2 linked regions of the Arabidopsis thaliana genome follow. The protein of the gene in region 1 interacts with the protein of each later gene in a pairwise test. Each region holds a gene or a part of one and is shown on either strand. Other genes may lie near its edges.

Region 1 (10,599 bases):
ACCACGAAAAGCGGATTGAATCTTCATCGCCGCGATATTCTCCTGAGCCCACCGACGGTTACTTCTTCCTATTTGAAACACCGACGAGTTTCCACCGCCACCGACGTTTCTCCCGCCGTTTCCGCTTGTTAGTCTCACGACTTCAGCTGCCGCATGAGCAGCAGTAAGAGCTGCTTCCGCCACCGCGGCTGTCGCAGCAGCCACAGCTATCGCATGTTTGTCAGCATCCAAACCATTTTGCTCAACCACCGAAGCCGACGTCACCGCCGGAGCTCTCTTGCTGGAATTTGAAGATCTGGTGGTGAAGCTCCACCTCCGTTTATCTCTCGACGAAGCAGCTTTATCAGACTTTTTTTTACTCCCGAACAGTCTCCCGAAAAAGCCCATCTTTCATCGTCGGAAAATCGTCGGCGAGGTTTTGTCGGAGAGTTCTCCGGTTGATTAACACTTTATTTAATATCTGAGATTGTTTTTTGTGTTAGAGGAAAAACAAAACATAAACTTTTGTCTATAGAGAAGCTAAATAGAGTTTAACGGCTTATATATAGATTGCAGAGTACGTTTCCACGCGCCGGCATACAGCGAGTTAGTTACACGAGATTTTAAAAGGCTTTTTTATTTTTTGCTTAGCTTGACTTTATCTAAAGGGCGTCGGTTAAAGTCAATGGGCCTGACTAATCCTACCAACCGTACCAGATCTGTGCTTTGTGGTTTTGTTCAAACCATTTAATATCAATTACGTCATTTTTTATTTTATTTAACTTTTTCTGTAATGTGAATTGTGAAGTGAATATTAGATCTTTGAATTATGTAGAAAACGTATGAAAAATAAATAATGAAGAAAAGAGAATAATTGGGAGGACGTGTCATTCTTTGAAGCCCATAATTTCACTGCAGTCTAGTGTCTGTGACTTCTGCAATTTGGCAGCTTTTTTCTTTGCTTCAATCCAATACAATGACTGCAAACTTTACAAATGTGTATGGAATATGTTTTTGAAATCAGAAATATATTTTGTGTGGATGATAGGTGTTTATCTTTTATCCAGGCCATACAAATGTTACATAGGTTGTTATTCTGGTGGCACAATTCAAATTCTTCTTGTACTTCAAATTCTATAAAGAGAAGTTGTTAATCACTAGCTAGATTAACCCCTCGATTTTGAAAGGTGTTGTTTTCTTCGTTTATTCATCTATCTATTTGTTTAGTTATCTATATTTTACTGTTCAGTAGGATGCAGTTTAGAAGTAAGTCTACGAAAAAGGAAAACAAATAGGGAACATTCGAAAATAAAGACTAGCTGTGATAACGATCGTCTATAACCACTAATAAATACTATCCTCCTCAAGTCGTATTCAGCAACAAGCACTAGAGGGGTCAGGTGCAATTTTTAGACTTTCTAGCTTTTAAACAAACATTGTTAGCTTGGCAACAATGAAAACTAACATGATTTTCCATGCATATTAAACAAGTCACTAATCTAATTTATTTCTGATGTCTAGACTTACGTACGTACATGTTTAAGAATAATTTGGTTTCAGACCGGGAATGTTTTATTCTCATAATTATCAAAGCTTTTTATTATACTAGTAGTATCTAAATTTCTAAGCAAAACTACTAGAACTTTATTATAGTAAAGCAGAAGTTAGAAGAAAAAACATAAGACTGGAATATTTCTCATTATTCTTTATTTTCCCGTTTTCCTTGATCATCTTGGAATTGACTCGTAGCTTAACTAAGCATTTATACCTGCACAACCCAAAAACAAAACAAACAAAAAAACAAAAAAACCTCAGAAACAGATATGAAATAGAGGTCTATATATCATTAAATAAACACATTACTACATTAGCCGAGTTAGCTAGAGCTGATATATGAGGTTTTATCCTACTTAATCTACTTGGAATCTTAGGCCAAGTCTTTTTGGTTTGGCCATATATTAGGCCAAGTCTAAAATGTTGGTAACTAAAACTAAATATATATTGAGATTTGTTTTATTCATCCTCATCTTGGGATAACGAGCCAAATATCAAACTTCTTGGTTAAAAGTAAATAAATCCGTACCACAATCCACAGGAGGAAGGTTACAAAGCGAAGGAAGAGAGGTGGCTGCACGGAGAGCGTTGCATAGACAATCTCTATTAGTAGATTGAAGTGCGGCGCAACACTCTGAATTTGGTCTGCCTGAACCGGGCAGCACCATGGCGGCGCATACCTGCACATTTGCTAGATCGTTGCCACATTCTTGGGCTTGAACTACCGTTTCTATAGCAGTCATGGCAAGAAAAAGGACACTGAGAACGGCTGCGAAAGACTTGAACGATGCCATTATTGCCATGGATAAGTTTGTTTCTATAGATATCTGATGTAGTTCTATGTATATGATATCATATGTTTAGATTTATCATTTATATAATGTTTTGAGTGTATATTTTGAGTGATTAATTAGATGAGTTGAGGAGACGTTTGGCATGGTCACATGGTCTAGTTAGTTCACAAGATTTACATGTGAAAGTAAATCACTCTGTTCTCTATCCACCACGCTGAGTGCAAGGTTTTTTTATTTATTTATTTTATTCTTTAGTGCAAAGCAAAAATATTTCATATACAAAATTATGTAATATATGAAATTAACTATGGTAAAAGGAGTTGACAAATTATCTCTTGTAGATAGTAGGATGGTTGGTATATTGAAGATGAAAAGTATTACTGTATTAGTGCAAGTAGATGAAGATTACATATCCGTATTTGTGGAATTTTGTATGATTTAAAATCACGTCACAAATACATTTTATTAAAATTTCAGAGAAAAAAATAGCATGTGTCTGGCTTGTTTGTGACGTGTTACCGATGTTTGTAACTGTATCAGCTTTAAATAAACGAGGCTTAAAAAAAGTCATAAGAAAAAAGGTAAAATATTGATTGATAGCGATGAGTTCCTGAAGAACAGTCTTTTTTCTTTTCCAGAATTAGTAACACTTTCCAGAAAAACCTCTTCATAAAAAGAGAAGCTTTAATCTAAGAAGAAGAAAGAACAACAACACAGTAGACACGTTAACATTGAATCCCCCTCATCAGATTCATATACCTAAGAAAGTTAGTCTTTAGTAACTCGTTCTTTACAAAGACAACATTGGAGCTAACTATCAAAATGCCTCTCATGACTTCCAAGAATATCCTCCCATGCTTTCATCAACCTCATTGCTAAAAACCCCGTTATTCCCAAAGTTGAGCGATGTATTAGAGATAATACCTTCCAGGTTTTGGCTTTGGTCTAACCCCTTGATGCCTCTGAATCTGTTGGAGGTGCTTGGTGTTTCAGCTGCTGCGGGAACATAATCTGTTCTGTTTCTTCCCATGTTGGTATTGCAATTCATCATGTTCTGACCAGAAAGTGACTGTTGTTGTTGACCGGAGCCTCCATTGCTGTTTGCCATCTGTTGCCATATTTGATGAATCATTTGTTGTTCCAATGTTTGGTTACCGCTACTACAGGAAGGTGGCTGTTGGTGGTATTGCTGGGTTGAGCCATTATAACTGGAGCTTGGCATTTGCCGCTGAGGAGATAGATGGGAAGATACACCACTTATTGATGGGCTATGCACAAAACCAGGTAACAAGGGACTAGTTCCTTGATAGCTCGGGGATGCACTCCGGTTTCTTGATGGTTCTTGCTGGATTGTGGTGTTGTTTAGGTCTGAATTCAGATGGTTTTGTTTCATGAGCATGCTCTGGTAGTTGGTAAGCGCAAAAGCGGCAGCTTGTGCAGAGCCGGGAAGAGATCCTTGACCGCTCATGTTGTTCATTGGTATGTTTATCCCGGAATTGCGCAAGGCCATTAGCTTGTTGAGACTGTTCCTATCAGGTGGAAGCCCTCGGGCAGCCGCTAGTTGCTCCATCTCCTGCATCTGAGGTTTACCAGCCTTCATTCGATATGGATAGCTCTTCAAAGCCTCTGCAAATGTTAAAAGGTAGCAAGAAAGCTTTTTATAAGCACAGCCAAGTAAAAAAAAAGCGTTTTGATGAATCTCAGGGACTCTCTGGGATTTATGTATTAACTTACCGATTGGACCCACTTTTTGGTCACGGCAAAAGTCAATCATATCTTTCATGCTGCTGACAACCTCAGAAATCTGTTTAAAGAAGATGGCAAGAGTTAAACAGTAAAAAGGAGACACGCCACCAGGAAAATGCAAGAAAGTAGGCAGAGAGATACCTGCAGACACCGAACATATCGTTTTGAGAAGCCTAAGTCATTGAGTGAATGTGACTCCAAGCTTTTTGCTAGTTGACGTCCAGCAGCCATGACCCTGGAGCAAAAGACTTGGCATCAGTACATCATATTTGTATATATTAAGCTAAAATCGCTTTGATCTTCTTTGCATCAGTGAAAAATCTTACCTAATTACCGTACAAGATGCAAGAAACAATGAAATTGAATTGATTGAGAAATATGGAAGAAAGAGAGTGAAATATTGTCTAGAATCATCAAGACTCACATGTTGCTATTAGCTTGCAAATCTTGTTGATGAATCCCATCTGATCCACTTTGATCAATTGTGCTCTGACATTTCTCTGCAACCTGAAGCAATTGGTTCACCTGCACGACCATAGGGAGCAGACATTCAAAAAATCTCAAGACCAGGGATTTCAAAAAGAGTCACAAAGATTGTAAGAACCATTAATGTTACCTGTGGAGCTACTAGGCGACGAGGAAGTAGTTCTTCATGTCGACGAGTACAGAACTCCCATGAGAGAATCTGGCAAAAGGAAAAAGGATAAGCTAAGTTACTTTAATACACATTAATGATTAAAAGTATTTGGAATCAAAAGCTCTTTAAACCACCTTCAGCTCTTGGGAGAATATAATCCGAAGATGGCCTTCGCGAACAACACGGATATGTTCGTACACACTCTCCTGAACTGCTTTTCCATACTCTAACACCATAATTCCAGATCCATATCTGCGTTCAGACGGTACACCCAGATAAAGAAGCTCGTCCAGGACACCACTTGCGAATTTGATTTCGTTAAGCCTTGGCAAGACATCAAAAGTTGCTTCTGCAGAATCCATAAGAAAAAGTTACTAAGAGAAGATGTTTTGCTACCATAAACATTTTTGAAATTTCCCTCTTCTTCATCAGGGTATAAGCAAATTGGAACTTACCAAATCCTCTTCCCGATTTAGAACCACATAGATCACACTGCCATTCATCCTGCAAATGGAAAATACAAAAAGCAAGAATAAGTAACCTATTTGTAACTACACCGTAAGATCAGCATAAAGAGTATGAAACCAAAAAAAACAAAGAGTCAGGGAAACAAACCGTGGCTGCCTGAGGAGAAACACCAAGTGCACTATGCCCCACATTATCATAATGAGAAAGACACCATCTTTTCTTTGCCCGGGGAGAAAAATACTCCGTCACAAATTTCCTCCAGTAAACAATACTGCTCTCCTACAAAATCAGCAATGACACGACTGGTATCTGTCAAGAGCTTTTTTCTAGAATACACATAAAACAAAAAATTTGACGACTACATGCACACTCACAGAAGGCCTTTGTCGCTGATGATATAGGTACTGCATCAATCTTCGAGCGCAAACGCTATTTTCATAAGGTCTTGGCCCACCGGTTAGTTGCATTTGCATTCCTTGTTGTTGCAACTGTTGCTGTTGCTGTTGGTGCTGCTGCTGCAACTGTTGCTGTTGCTGCACTTGTTGCTGCTGCTGCAGTTGAACCCGTTGCAATGGTGGGAGGGACTGGAGATATTGTTGCTGTTGCCTCAGCTTTTGTTGCTGAAGCAAGATTTGGAACTGTGGATTTTGGCCTTGTTGTTGTTGTTGCTGCTGCTGCTGCAATATATCCTGTCTCTGAAGCCACTGACGTAAAATCTGCTGCTGCAAAGCATCATCCTGCTTTGAATCTAATCTAGGTTTTTTCCGTGCTTGAGTTAAGTTGTTTGGATCCTGAAAGAACGATTCAGAAGCACGCCGAGCCATAGAAAGCGGGATTTGATTAGTTTGTGATGTAGGCAGTGATGTAGCACTAGAGCCACCTAGCTGAACACTAGGATCATGCCGTTGTACCACAGTCGACCCATCTACAACTGATGAACCAGATATGCTGATATTATTAGAAGAGAACGACATAGGAGACGCCGGTAAACGCATATATGACTCATTATTGATACTAGCACTACGCTGCAAATGAGGACCACCTCCAGAGAGCCCTGAATTAGCATCTGTGACAAGCGAACTAGCTCCTGCGCTTGGACCGGGTGTTGAAACACTCATCATAACCGGATTATGCATATCACCAGAAACCATACTGAGATTGTGATAGCCACCAGTAGGTCCACCACATCCAGGAGCAGAGTTAGATGAATTCCCATAAGAGGAAGTCAAGTGAGAGTTAATGAAGCTTTGAGATTCATCATCTCCTTGAAAGAAAATCCCAGAAGTTGAAGAAGCCATTAAAGGGTAGGTCCCAAGTGAGTCTGAAATCCAAAGTTTCTTCCTCAATGCGACACAAATGTCCCACCTTTACTACTGATACCTACAACATTATACATGTATCGATTAAAATCAGATCAATAACATTCCCTAACACATGAATCTGGTGCGTTATTAAAGATACACAGACATTGAACTTAACCACTGAAATAAAAAAAAAACCAAATCAAAACCCTAATTTTAAAGTTCGTTACTTAACATAACTAACCGAGAAACTAACCAATCCCCAAAAAAAAAAAAAATAGATAGCAATCCCTTAAAAATCTCGGAGTTAGATATTTAAAAAGCAACCGAAATTAAATTACAAAATAAAAAAGCGAAGAACACGGAAACAACGTACGAAGAACTGTTAAGTGGAGCTTCGATCAATATAGAACAAAAGCTGAGAGATCACAACTAGAAATTAAAACTAAACCCAGCTGAATTGAAACAGAAGAAGAGGAAGATAATTAATGAGACAAGAAGAAGAAGAAGAAGAAGGAAAAAAATTTGCCTGGAAATTTCAAGCTGTAATATAAAGTTAAAATAAACAATCTTCTTATTTATTTTGTGTTTGTTGTTTTTGCATAAAAAAAAGGAAAATCCTGGAGAGAGCTGGAACTAGGCAATGAACTTGACGCGCCTTTGTTAATATACCTAGAGGAAATCGTAAGAACCAAATCTGACCGGACAAGCCGGTGACCCATCTGCTTATGGTTTTGCAAGTACTTTTTATTACCCGCTAGTCAATACTGACACGTGTCTTGTTTATCGTAACAAGTATCGTATGACCGATTGGTAACCTTTAGCTGTTTTGATTGCGTGGCATATTCTTGACCTTGCGATCAATAAAGTTAAATCAATTGTGGATCGTTCGATTGAGAGCATGGATCGTGTGCGACGCGTGTAGTTTAAAGTTGATTGACCAAATTATGTTTTTTATTTTATTTTTTTGTAATAACTGTACCAATGATTGCAGCTGTAAATGAGTGGGCTTACGACAAATATCCTCTTTTTTGCATGATTACTTATTGACCCCAATATTACTCCCTTTGACAATTCAACCCCTAAAATATTTCGACAAGATCATCCAACTATATGGAGCTACGACCCAACAGGCCTATTTCAGTATTTTTAGGCCCATTATTAGCCCATAAATAATTATACTCTGTTCTCCAACCGTTCAAAGCTCTGTTCTCGAACAGTCTTGAGGTCAAACCTAACCGGTGTCTCTGTCTCTAAAGCACTAGCTTGTTCAAGAAATGATCAAAGAAAGCTCGTGTGTGGTCCGTACGGTCCATGGATCATTCAAAACTTGGCAAGAAGACACACAACACCGACGATAATTCTAGACAATGTGGATCTGCAAGAAAGAGAGATTTTTAAGTTGCAGAGTTTGTCGGAGTTAAAGGCGTGACGTGTAACACAAGTTTCTGTTTCAGTTATTTCATTAGCTTACCTGTACTTAGAAACGTAGAACACGACTTATAAAATACAGAAGAACGATGACAAATAAATATAAATGTAACAACGACATTAATATATCGTCATTATTTATCAGAAATAGAAATAAATATGTGGGGGATACAACATTTATATTAAATATATGTATCTGTGATGGACTGATAATGAGACATAACAACAATCACATTAGCTGTCACTCTTTTCTTTAACTTTTTTTTCTCATTGTATAAAATTTTATAAAACAATAATCTGCTTTATATGATTCTTATCTTTCTTCTTCTTCCACGAGTTCTGTCCAGAAACAGAAACATTAATTTATTACAAAACAAAGTGTATTTACTTCTCTTTGCTCAGACGTTTCTTTTTTCTTCTTCTTCTTCTTGATCTTTTTCAGAAATCAACTTCATCTCATCATTCCTCTGTTTTTTTCTCTCTATCTCTCTTAATAAAGAAAATGATGAAAATGAGTATCGGAACAACAACTTCCGGCGACGGTGAAATGGAGCTCCGACCTGGAGGAATGGTTGTACAGAAAAGGACGGATCATAGCTCAAGCGTGCCACGTGGCATTCGGGTTCGGGTCAAATACGGGTCGGTCCATCACGAGATCAGTATCAACTCTCAATCTACTTTCGGTAAACGACACAAAACATTCCGAGTTATACAGTATTTCCTTTATACTATTAGTATGCTCTGTTTTTGGAATTTGATTGTTGTTGTTGTTGAATTTAACAACAGGGGAATTAAAGAAGATATTGTCTGGTGCGACAGGAGTTCATCATCAAGACATGCAGATTATATACAAAGACAAAGAAAGAGACTCAAAGATGTTTCTTGATCTTTCTGGTGTCAAAGATCGTTCGAAACTTATTCTTATAGAAGATCCCATTTCTCAGGAGAAACGTCTCCTTGAGTTGAGGAAAATCGCCACCAAAGAGAAATCATCTAAAGCAATCTCTGATATTAGTTTCCAAGTCGAAAGACTCGCCGGACAAGTAACTTAAGAAACATAATTTTAAATTTTCCGGATAACAACGCTCTTGTCTCGTAACTTGAATCAGAATTGTTTTTTTTGGTTTTTGGACTTTAGCTGTCGGCGTTTGATACAGTGATTGGTAAAGGAGGGAAAGTTGAAGAGAAGAATCTTGAGAATTTGATGGAGATGTTGATGAATCAATTGGTCAAGCTCGATGCCATCTCAGGTGATGGAGACGTTAAATTGAAGAAGAAGATGCAGGTACTTAAATCATGTTTTATTACTCACTGTTACTAATCTAATTCTTCATTTTACTTAGAATTCTAGATGACACAACTCTATTAATTTTTATTCATAAATTTGCAGAATTATGGAACCATTCTATAAGTAATTACCAATCATACCCATAAAGTCTTGTTATTCAAGTTTTTGAAGTCGCTTTGACAATTATTATTTTTTATGTATAGTTAGAATCTAATGATTCGATTTACAAATTGTTGGAAGGAGGAAAGATTACACAAGTATGTTGAGGCTCTCGACTTGTTGAAGATCAAGAACTCAAGGCAACCGCAAACGAAACCAAAGCCGCAATACAAGGAACGGGAAATGCTGACATTTTACGAGGAGGCGTCAAGGAAACCGACGGCCTCCTCATCAAGTCCTCCGGTGATCATAACAACAAGATGGGAAACGTTTGATTCTAGTTCAGCCTCCACGGCAACCCTACAACCCGTTAGACCGGTTCACCCAAAATTTAAATGGGAATTATTCAATTAATATCTAGATATTAATTACACGATAATATAATATACTATACTTAGTTTTCAGATTTATTGTAAGGTGTAACATATGTGATTATTTTTGTCTAGTTGTATATGATTTGTGATTGGTCGTTTATGTTACATTATCAAATTTTGTTGTTGTGATATACTAAAAACAATGTAGTATTTACTATTTAAAAGAAAATATGTGGATTAAAAAAAGTATGCGAGTAGATGGCAAAAGGGAGAGAACGAAGGTTTTGAAATGATTAAAATAAACTGTTAAGAGTTGTAGCATTTTATTTTAAATATAAAAATAAAATTTGGTTTACGATTCCAAACATATATCTACAAATGCAATCATTCAATCAGTGATATGCATGTAAACATCTACGAAATTCACAAATTACTTAAATAGCATCCAAATTGAATATGAGTCATGATGACAAAAACAACGTCAAAAATTGAAAACAATCTTAAACCAAAACAACATCCAAATTTTAAATAAAATCTTAAACAACATAACAAAGTTATCAAATATTAATCTGATACTTTCAAAAGCAAAATTAAAAGATTTTCTTAAAACATGTCGTCAACATCCAGCATAAAGTTCATGAGGCCATCATCCTTCCAATCCTGTATCAGAAAACATAAACTAGTAAATGAATTTGCTATAAGAAATTAGATCTAGTACACACGTGACATTTCATAGACTACAAATACTATTAGACTCTTTATATTTCTATAATTGATATAAAAATGAAAATATGGCATCGGTGTATCATTATAGTTTTTTTTCTCAAAAAGTAAGAATTTTCTAGGATTCAATAAATTTTGATGAGAACTATAACCAAAATTAACTTTATTAAAGTAGAATTGTAAAAGTTTAAATACATCATCAAAT
Region 2 (6,663 bases), on another chromosome or scaffold:
AAGTGATGATGAGAAATGCCAAGCAATGTGTTGTGGTAAAGAGTGCAATTTAGGATCACATGAGTCTTATTAGTGTATGTTCTTCTAGGGATTGTTTGAAGGGCTAAAAGCTTACAGAAAGAAAGATGGTAATAACATCCTCCTCTTTCGTCCTGAGGAGAATGCAAAGCGTATGAGAAATGGTGCTGAGAGGATGTGTATGCCTGCTCCAACCGTTGAGCAGTTTGTAGAAGCTGTGACAGAAACTGTACTAGCAAACAAACGTTGGGTAATGAATCACGCAGTTTTTTTTGTCTCCCGATATGCAGAGGAAATTATCTAGATATTTGTTTGCTGTTATGAATTTAACTTGTGTTTGGTGTCTTGTTTTTAGGTTCCACCACCAGGTAAAGGTTCCTTATATGTTAGACCATTGCTAATGGGAACAGGAGCTGTTCTTGGTCTTGCGCCTGCACCAGAATATACTTTCATTATCTATGTTTCGCCTGTTGGGAACTACTTCAAGGTCTTTCAGAGTTACTTCGATCTATTCCAACTATCTAAGATTTGTTGTATGTTTCTCTGAATGATGATACGGATTTATATGATGATGTCAGGAAGGTGTGGCACCTATCAATTTGATTGTGGAGAATGAATTTCACCGTGCAACTCCTGGTGGTACCGGAGGTGTTAAAACCATAGGCAATTATGCTGCAGTAAGTAAAAGCTTATTTCACTTATTGATTTTATTGGACCAGCTTTCGTAACTCACACATACAAGTTATTTATTTAGGTACTGAAGGCACAGTCAATTGCGAAAGCTAAAGGATATTCCGATGTTTTGTACCTTGATTGCATTTACAAAAGATATCTTGAGGAGGTCTCGTCTTGCAATATTTTCATCGTGAAGGTAAATAAAAATCAATCTCTCGGAATCTGATGATGCCTTGTAGAGTCTATAAGATGTCTCTCTTCATAAGACGTAGGAGATGATGAGATTGAGACTCTGGCACCATGTTTTTTTGGGGGCATTCTTACAAACATATCAAGATACTGATTCTCTTACATAATGATTTTTTAACCAACACTTTTCTTTGCCAGGACAATGTGATATCTACTCCTGAAATAAAAGGAACCATTTTACCCGGTATTACTCGAAAAAGTATGATAGACGTGGCTCGAACACAAGGGTTTCAGGTGACCTCTTCCCCTTCTTTAAATTCCCAACATCTTTAAAGTGGATCATAAGTACTATTATTGGCTTCTGATCACAGTGCATGTTTATACGGTATTGTTCAGGTGGAGGAACGGAATGTGACAGTGGATGAATTGTTAGAAGCAGACGAGGTTTTCTGCACAGGAACCGCCGTGGTTGTCTCTCCTGTTGGAAGCGTCACTTACAAAGGCAAAAGGTAAAACGTTTTTTCTTTGTATCCCAATTTAAGTGAAAACCAAACCTACCAAGTGGTAAAGCTTTCCCCTTTTTCCGAATACACACACAGAGTGTCTTACGGAGAAGGTACCTTCGGAACTGTGTCGAAGCAACTCTACACCGTTCTGACAAGCTTGCAGATGGGTCTGATTGAAGACAACATGAAATGGACTGTGAATCTTAGTTAAGCCAGGCGAATGCATTGCATCAATTCGGCTGCTTGGTTTTGCTTTCTTTTCTTTGGTCTGTGGTTCTGATTCGTGAAACTATGAGTTGGATTGTTTAGAATCTGGTTGATCTAGAACTTAGCTGGTTCAAGATCATTAGATGTTGTTGCATCATACCAATAATATTATCTTTAGATCTCTGTTTCTGATTAGATGGTTACATCCAATTATTTCTCTAAAGTCTGAGACATCATTGATATCTAACAATCAAAAACTAAAAAGTGAAGTATTAACATTTTAATCAGATTCAAACCAGAACTTATCAGTCATCAAAAATGTTGGCAAATAACAAATCAAACTTAAGTTTTTGGATGGAGAAAGCAAGCTAGATTCGAATCTCTAAGAAGCGTGGACTTGGACTTGTTTACGACCTGAAAAGATGTCATGATTATCTCATGATTACGAGATAATAACATGTCTTATCTACTAAACTAATCTAAAAAGTAGTGAGGATGACTTGAAACTTAAGTCTTATATGAATTATCTTTAAATATAGAAAAAGAAAGGAGATAGAGAGGTGTGTTTTTCATGTGAACAACTTTTTTTTACCTTTAGAGTACTTCCAGAAGACTTATTGGGTCCTTAATAAAAGTAGACCAAATTATTGAAGAGCTAAAAAAAAATGCCTACTCAAAATATCCAAACCTCTTCTTTTAGCCTTTTGTTTTTTTCAATATTCATACTAATGTAAACTACAATCATTGTATCATTCTATAATCATATGAATTTTTTGTCAACACCATGCATTATGCTAGTTTAAATTTAGGTGATGATATAAAGATATTTTAAGTACAAATCAATAGGGGCGATGTTCTTATGTCTTTATCTAACTTTATGAATTTGTGTTTTATATATTATGAAAAATTGGAAAAGAAGAGATGGCCTACGCTCAAGACCAATTCCTACCAATGGGCAATGGTGTTGAAATCTGAACAAAAAAATTTCCTTTCTTTAACGTTAGCTTTAAAGTTCAAAAAACTTTATTTACTTTTTCAGTGATAATTCTGTATAAAATAACATATAACAATGAGGAAAAAACTCAATAATTTGAATCGCTTATGACTTTATTTCTCCAAGTGCTTGACTTTTAAAACCCTAATGTCCAATCTCAACTAAAGTCAACCTTTTTCGTTCGTCTAGAAGAGTCAGTCATTAAGTTTCAATTGAAGTATACAGTAAATTATTAGTACTTTTTATTTTATTTTAACCACAGTTCATTGGCTGTATGAGATTTCTGTTCAAGAAAACATATAAATCGAAACCAAAGCAAAAGACATTATTTGCTTCGGTTTCTTCTACTCAAGCTCATTTTTAGTAAAACTAAATTGTATTTTCATTTTCTTAAAAAGTTAATTGTTTTTTTTGTAAAATCAGTTTTACCAAATTGGACACAATAATGAATATATGTCTATGTCTAGTTTTTTTTAGCTCAGAATATATCTTATGTGAATAGAATCGTCTATCAGATATTTTTGTGATGCAGATAGAACTTACCGTTATAGAATCATTTGTAGATTGTTCATCGTGATTGTTAAGATTAGATTCCCATTTGTAATATAACAGAAACTCGAAAAGTACTTATATTAAGTATTAACGATGTATCATGTGACCAAAATAGAAAATACTACGTAATGATATGATTATTAAGCGAGTGTGTAGGTAATTCAAATATTTCAATTAATCAATCTTTGATATCACTCTTTAGAGTAATGTATTATCTTTCTTATTGTTTTACCCTGGGATTAATAAGTTTACCGGATCCGGAGTAGAATTTCTTCGGTTTGGCAATTTTGTTCACCTACCATAACGAACTTTTACCCTTATACTTAGTTTCAATCTACTTTTGGTGCATCCTTTCATTTTCAACTGCAAAGAAGTAGTTAAAAGATCCAATACATAATATATTTAATTTATCATAAGTAACTTAGTGTAAAGAAAGACTAAAGTACTTTTTAAAATATGTATTTGTATTTCCCGATGTGAAAGAAAAGAAAATTGAATTTGCACATATCAATAATATTAGCTAGGAAAAAACTTGTGAGAAATTTCTTTGACGACTTGCGTGTGCAATAGTCTTCCTTATCTTCTCTACCATTTCTTAATTCCACTATTGTATAGTATTTACTTATGTTGAATTAATAAATTAAAACATTTAAATTTCCCTAAAGTTACTTTTTGATTTTTGATTTTCTATTTTTATTACAACTTTCCTACTTTTTGACATCTTTTCTTACAAAGACTTTTTGACATCTCCCCCTCCAGCTATTATATAGTCTCCTTTTTTCTTTTCTGCATTCACATAATATTTCCCCTATATAGTTTACACAACATCATACCCACCAACATATATAATCTTGATCATAGAGAGATAAACAGAGGCCGCTATCAAGAACAAGACTAAGAACAAGACTTCACTAGGAGTACAAGTATGGGAAGAGCACCGTGTTGTGACAAAGCAAACGTGAAGAAAGGGCCTTGGTCTCCTGAGGAAGATGCAAAACTCAAATCTTACATTGAAAATAGTGGCACCGGAGGCAATTGGATCGCTTTGCCTCAAAAGATTGGTATTAATAAATTTATAGTCACTCTTTTTCATATAAATTTGATAATTCTCTCTTGATCTATCTCTTTTTTTGTGAAGAAGTATTGATAACTAAAGATGCTTTTTGTTTATATGATTATTTCTTGGTTGTTTTAAGGTTTAAAGAGATGTGGAAAGAGTTGCAGGCTGAGGTGGCTTAACTATCTTAGACCAAACATCAAACATGGTGGCTTCTCTGAGGAAGAAGAAAACATCATTTGTAGCCTTTACCTTACAATTGGTAGCAGGTACTATTCATATACGTTATTCATGTATATATCGTTAAAATATCATGTGGAAACTCTGAAATATAGTTATGTGATGATGTCTATAATTAAAGGTGGTCTATAATCGCTGCTCAATTGCCGGGACGAACAGACAACGATATAAAAAACTATTGGAACACGAGGCTCAAGAAGAAACTCATTAACAAACAACGCAAGGAGCTTCAAGAAGCTTGTATGGAGCAGCAAGAGATGATGGTGATGATGAAGAGACAACACCAACAACAACAAATCCAAACTTCTTTTATGATGAGACAAGACCAAACAATGTTCACATGGCCACTACATCATCATAATGTTCAAGTTCCAGCTCTTTTCATGAATCAAACCAACTCGTTTTGCGACCAAGAAGATGTTAAGCCAGTGCTCATCAAGAACATGGTCAAGATCGAAGATCAAGAACTGGAGAAAACAAACCCTCATCATCATCAAGATTCAATGACAAACGCTTTTGATCATCTCTCTTTCTCTCAACTCTTGTTAGATCCTAATCATAACCACTTAGGATCAGGCGAGGGTTTCTCCATGAACTCTATCTTGAGCGCCAACACAAACTCTCCATTGCTTAATACAAGTAATGATAATCAGTGGTTCGGGAATTTCCAGGCCGAAACCGTAAACTTGTTCTCAGGAGCCTCCACAAGTACTTCGGCAGATCAAAGCACTATAAGTTGGGAAGACATAAGCTCTCTTGTTTATTCTGATTCAAAGCAATTTTTTTAATTATAATAATATATTATTCTTAAGATGAAACGTACATCATTATTATTAATTGGGGGTACGTAACGTATATATGGAATAACGATCTAGTTTGTTTAAATTTATTGATATCTCATATATCTGGATTTGAAATTAACTCTAATATGCAGAAGTATGAACTCATATGCGAAAGATCCTAGCGAAGTAATCACATTTAGATAAACAAAATTTGTTATTGTTACTTTTTTTTTTTTTTTTAAAGTAAGAACGTGTAATATGCATGTATGTATATATGTATGGATGCCTATGTGAAAAGAGTTAACACTTAAGAGTATATTGTGCATGATGTGTTACGTTTCCATTATGTATACAATATGATAATACATAAATTTACACGCATAATATACCTATTGGGCGCAAAGTTATACACATTTTAAAATGGGAAAATATTAATGGTGCTTTTGGGGCCTTGGCATATGAGCTGATTATATATGGTCGGATCCATATGTACGTGGTTGGATGTATTGATTGTATATATGCTTCTTTAATTGATTGTATGTTCATCCTACTTTTTCGAATAATTTATGTTTACCTCAATGTCGGATTGTGCGAAGCATTTAGCTGGAAACCATTGATGTTAATAATAAGTAAGAATTAACATAGATGGATTTATAAGGATATAAGAATTAATACCTAACCATTTGACCAATGAAAAGTTTGGATCACCAAATAAATGAATTGTGTGCAACTCTGAACTTCTCAAAGACATGACCTCTCTATTCCTAGCAAGTCACTAGTCTGTTTCTTATTTCCTCACAGAATCAAATGATGATGTCATACGAAAATTCTCTTTCCCTTACGAGTTTGGCACATTCGTTGCCTATTCAAAAATCAAATCAAATTTAGAAAGTCCTAAAATGACACTGTCGCTTGAAATATACGTATAAAAACTCTCGCTTCAAAAAATCTTTTGTTGATCAAACAATCCATTCAGTACTAGCTAGAAGGCTAGTTAGAAGTAGACTAGACTTCACGGTTCAATTAGATATTATCTTTGATCTTCATATATTCATGACTCATGAGATGATATAGGACAAATGAGATGATATATAGAATTATAGATAACGATTTCAAAGAGTATTACAAAAACAAATGCATCATTTTTTTCTTCTTAAGAGTATTACAAAAGTACTCTCTGAAAGACAAGAATGTTCCAAAACATTCTCTTCAAACAGCAAAATGACAAACATAATTATTCAATTTTTTTTGCCGTTAATTTAATATTCCTAAATCACTCACCAAAATTTCACTAATTAAATAGTAAATATCATATCCTTTTATCACAATCAAGAACCTTATTAAATGCTTTTTACTTGTATATATGAATGTAGCTGAAAGTTTCAAAGTACACTTCGTTATCAAAATTTCAAAATATGTCTTCCAATGAAGTCATAATCTTAA

What was found. Proteins that work in one complex are often made in the same cells at the same time.
Region 2: the proteins of SLK2 (region 1) and MYB84 interact in a two-hybrid assay, tested with the Arabidopsis thaliana proteins (one large-scale study listed by BioGRID).

The regions. Positions count from the first base shown.
Region 1 is NC_003076.8:24,932,065-24,942,663, forward strand, and holds SLK2 (SEUSS-like 2), read right to left. Parts: upstream 7,176-10,599; 5' UTR 6,856-7,175; exon of another isoform or gene 6,559-6,855; 5' UTR 6,477-6,558; coding exon 5,553-6,476; intron 5,458-5,552; coding exon 5,326-5,457; intron 5,215-5,325; coding exon 5,166-5,214; intron 5,060-5,165; coding exon 4,845-5,059; intron 4,759-4,844; coding exon 4,690-4,758; intron 4,599-4,689; coding exon 4,498-4,598; intron 4,309-4,497; coding exon 4,215-4,308; intron 4,132-4,214; coding exon 4,062-4,131; intron 3,954-4,061; coding exon 3,157-3,953; 3' UTR 2,898-3,156; downstream 1-2,897. Other genes in the region: IQD23 (IQ-domain 23), read right to left, coding at 1-387; AT5G62080 (Bifunctional inhibitor/lipid-transfer protein/seed storage 2S albumin superfamily protein), read right to left, coding at 1,734-1,747, 2,063-2,336; BAG2 (BCL-2-associated athanogene 2), read left to right, coding at 8,413-8,593, 8,697-8,953, 9,049-9,195, 9,406-9,711; AT5G62110 (Homeodomain-like superfamily protein), read right to left, coding at 10,275-10,331. UniProt on the Arabidopsis thaliana protein: Probable transcription regulator that functions in the development of the carpel margin meristem similarly to SEUSS (SEU).
Region 2 is NC_003074.8:18,423,875-18,430,537, forward strand, and holds MYB84 (myb domain protein 84), read left to right. Parts: upstream 1-3,860; 5' UTR 3,861-4,066; coding exon 4,067-4,202; intron 4,203-4,337; coding exon 4,338-4,467; intron 4,468-4,559; coding exon 4,560-5,226; 3' UTR 5,227-5,407; downstream 5,408-6,663. Other genes in the region: BCAT3 (branched-chain aminotransferase 3), read left to right, coding at 89-268, 374-505, 597-695, 773-889, 1,081-1,176, 1,279-1,391, 1,482-1,599. UniProt on the Arabidopsis thaliana protein: Transcription activator. Positively regulates axillary meristems (AMs) formation and development, especially during inflorescence.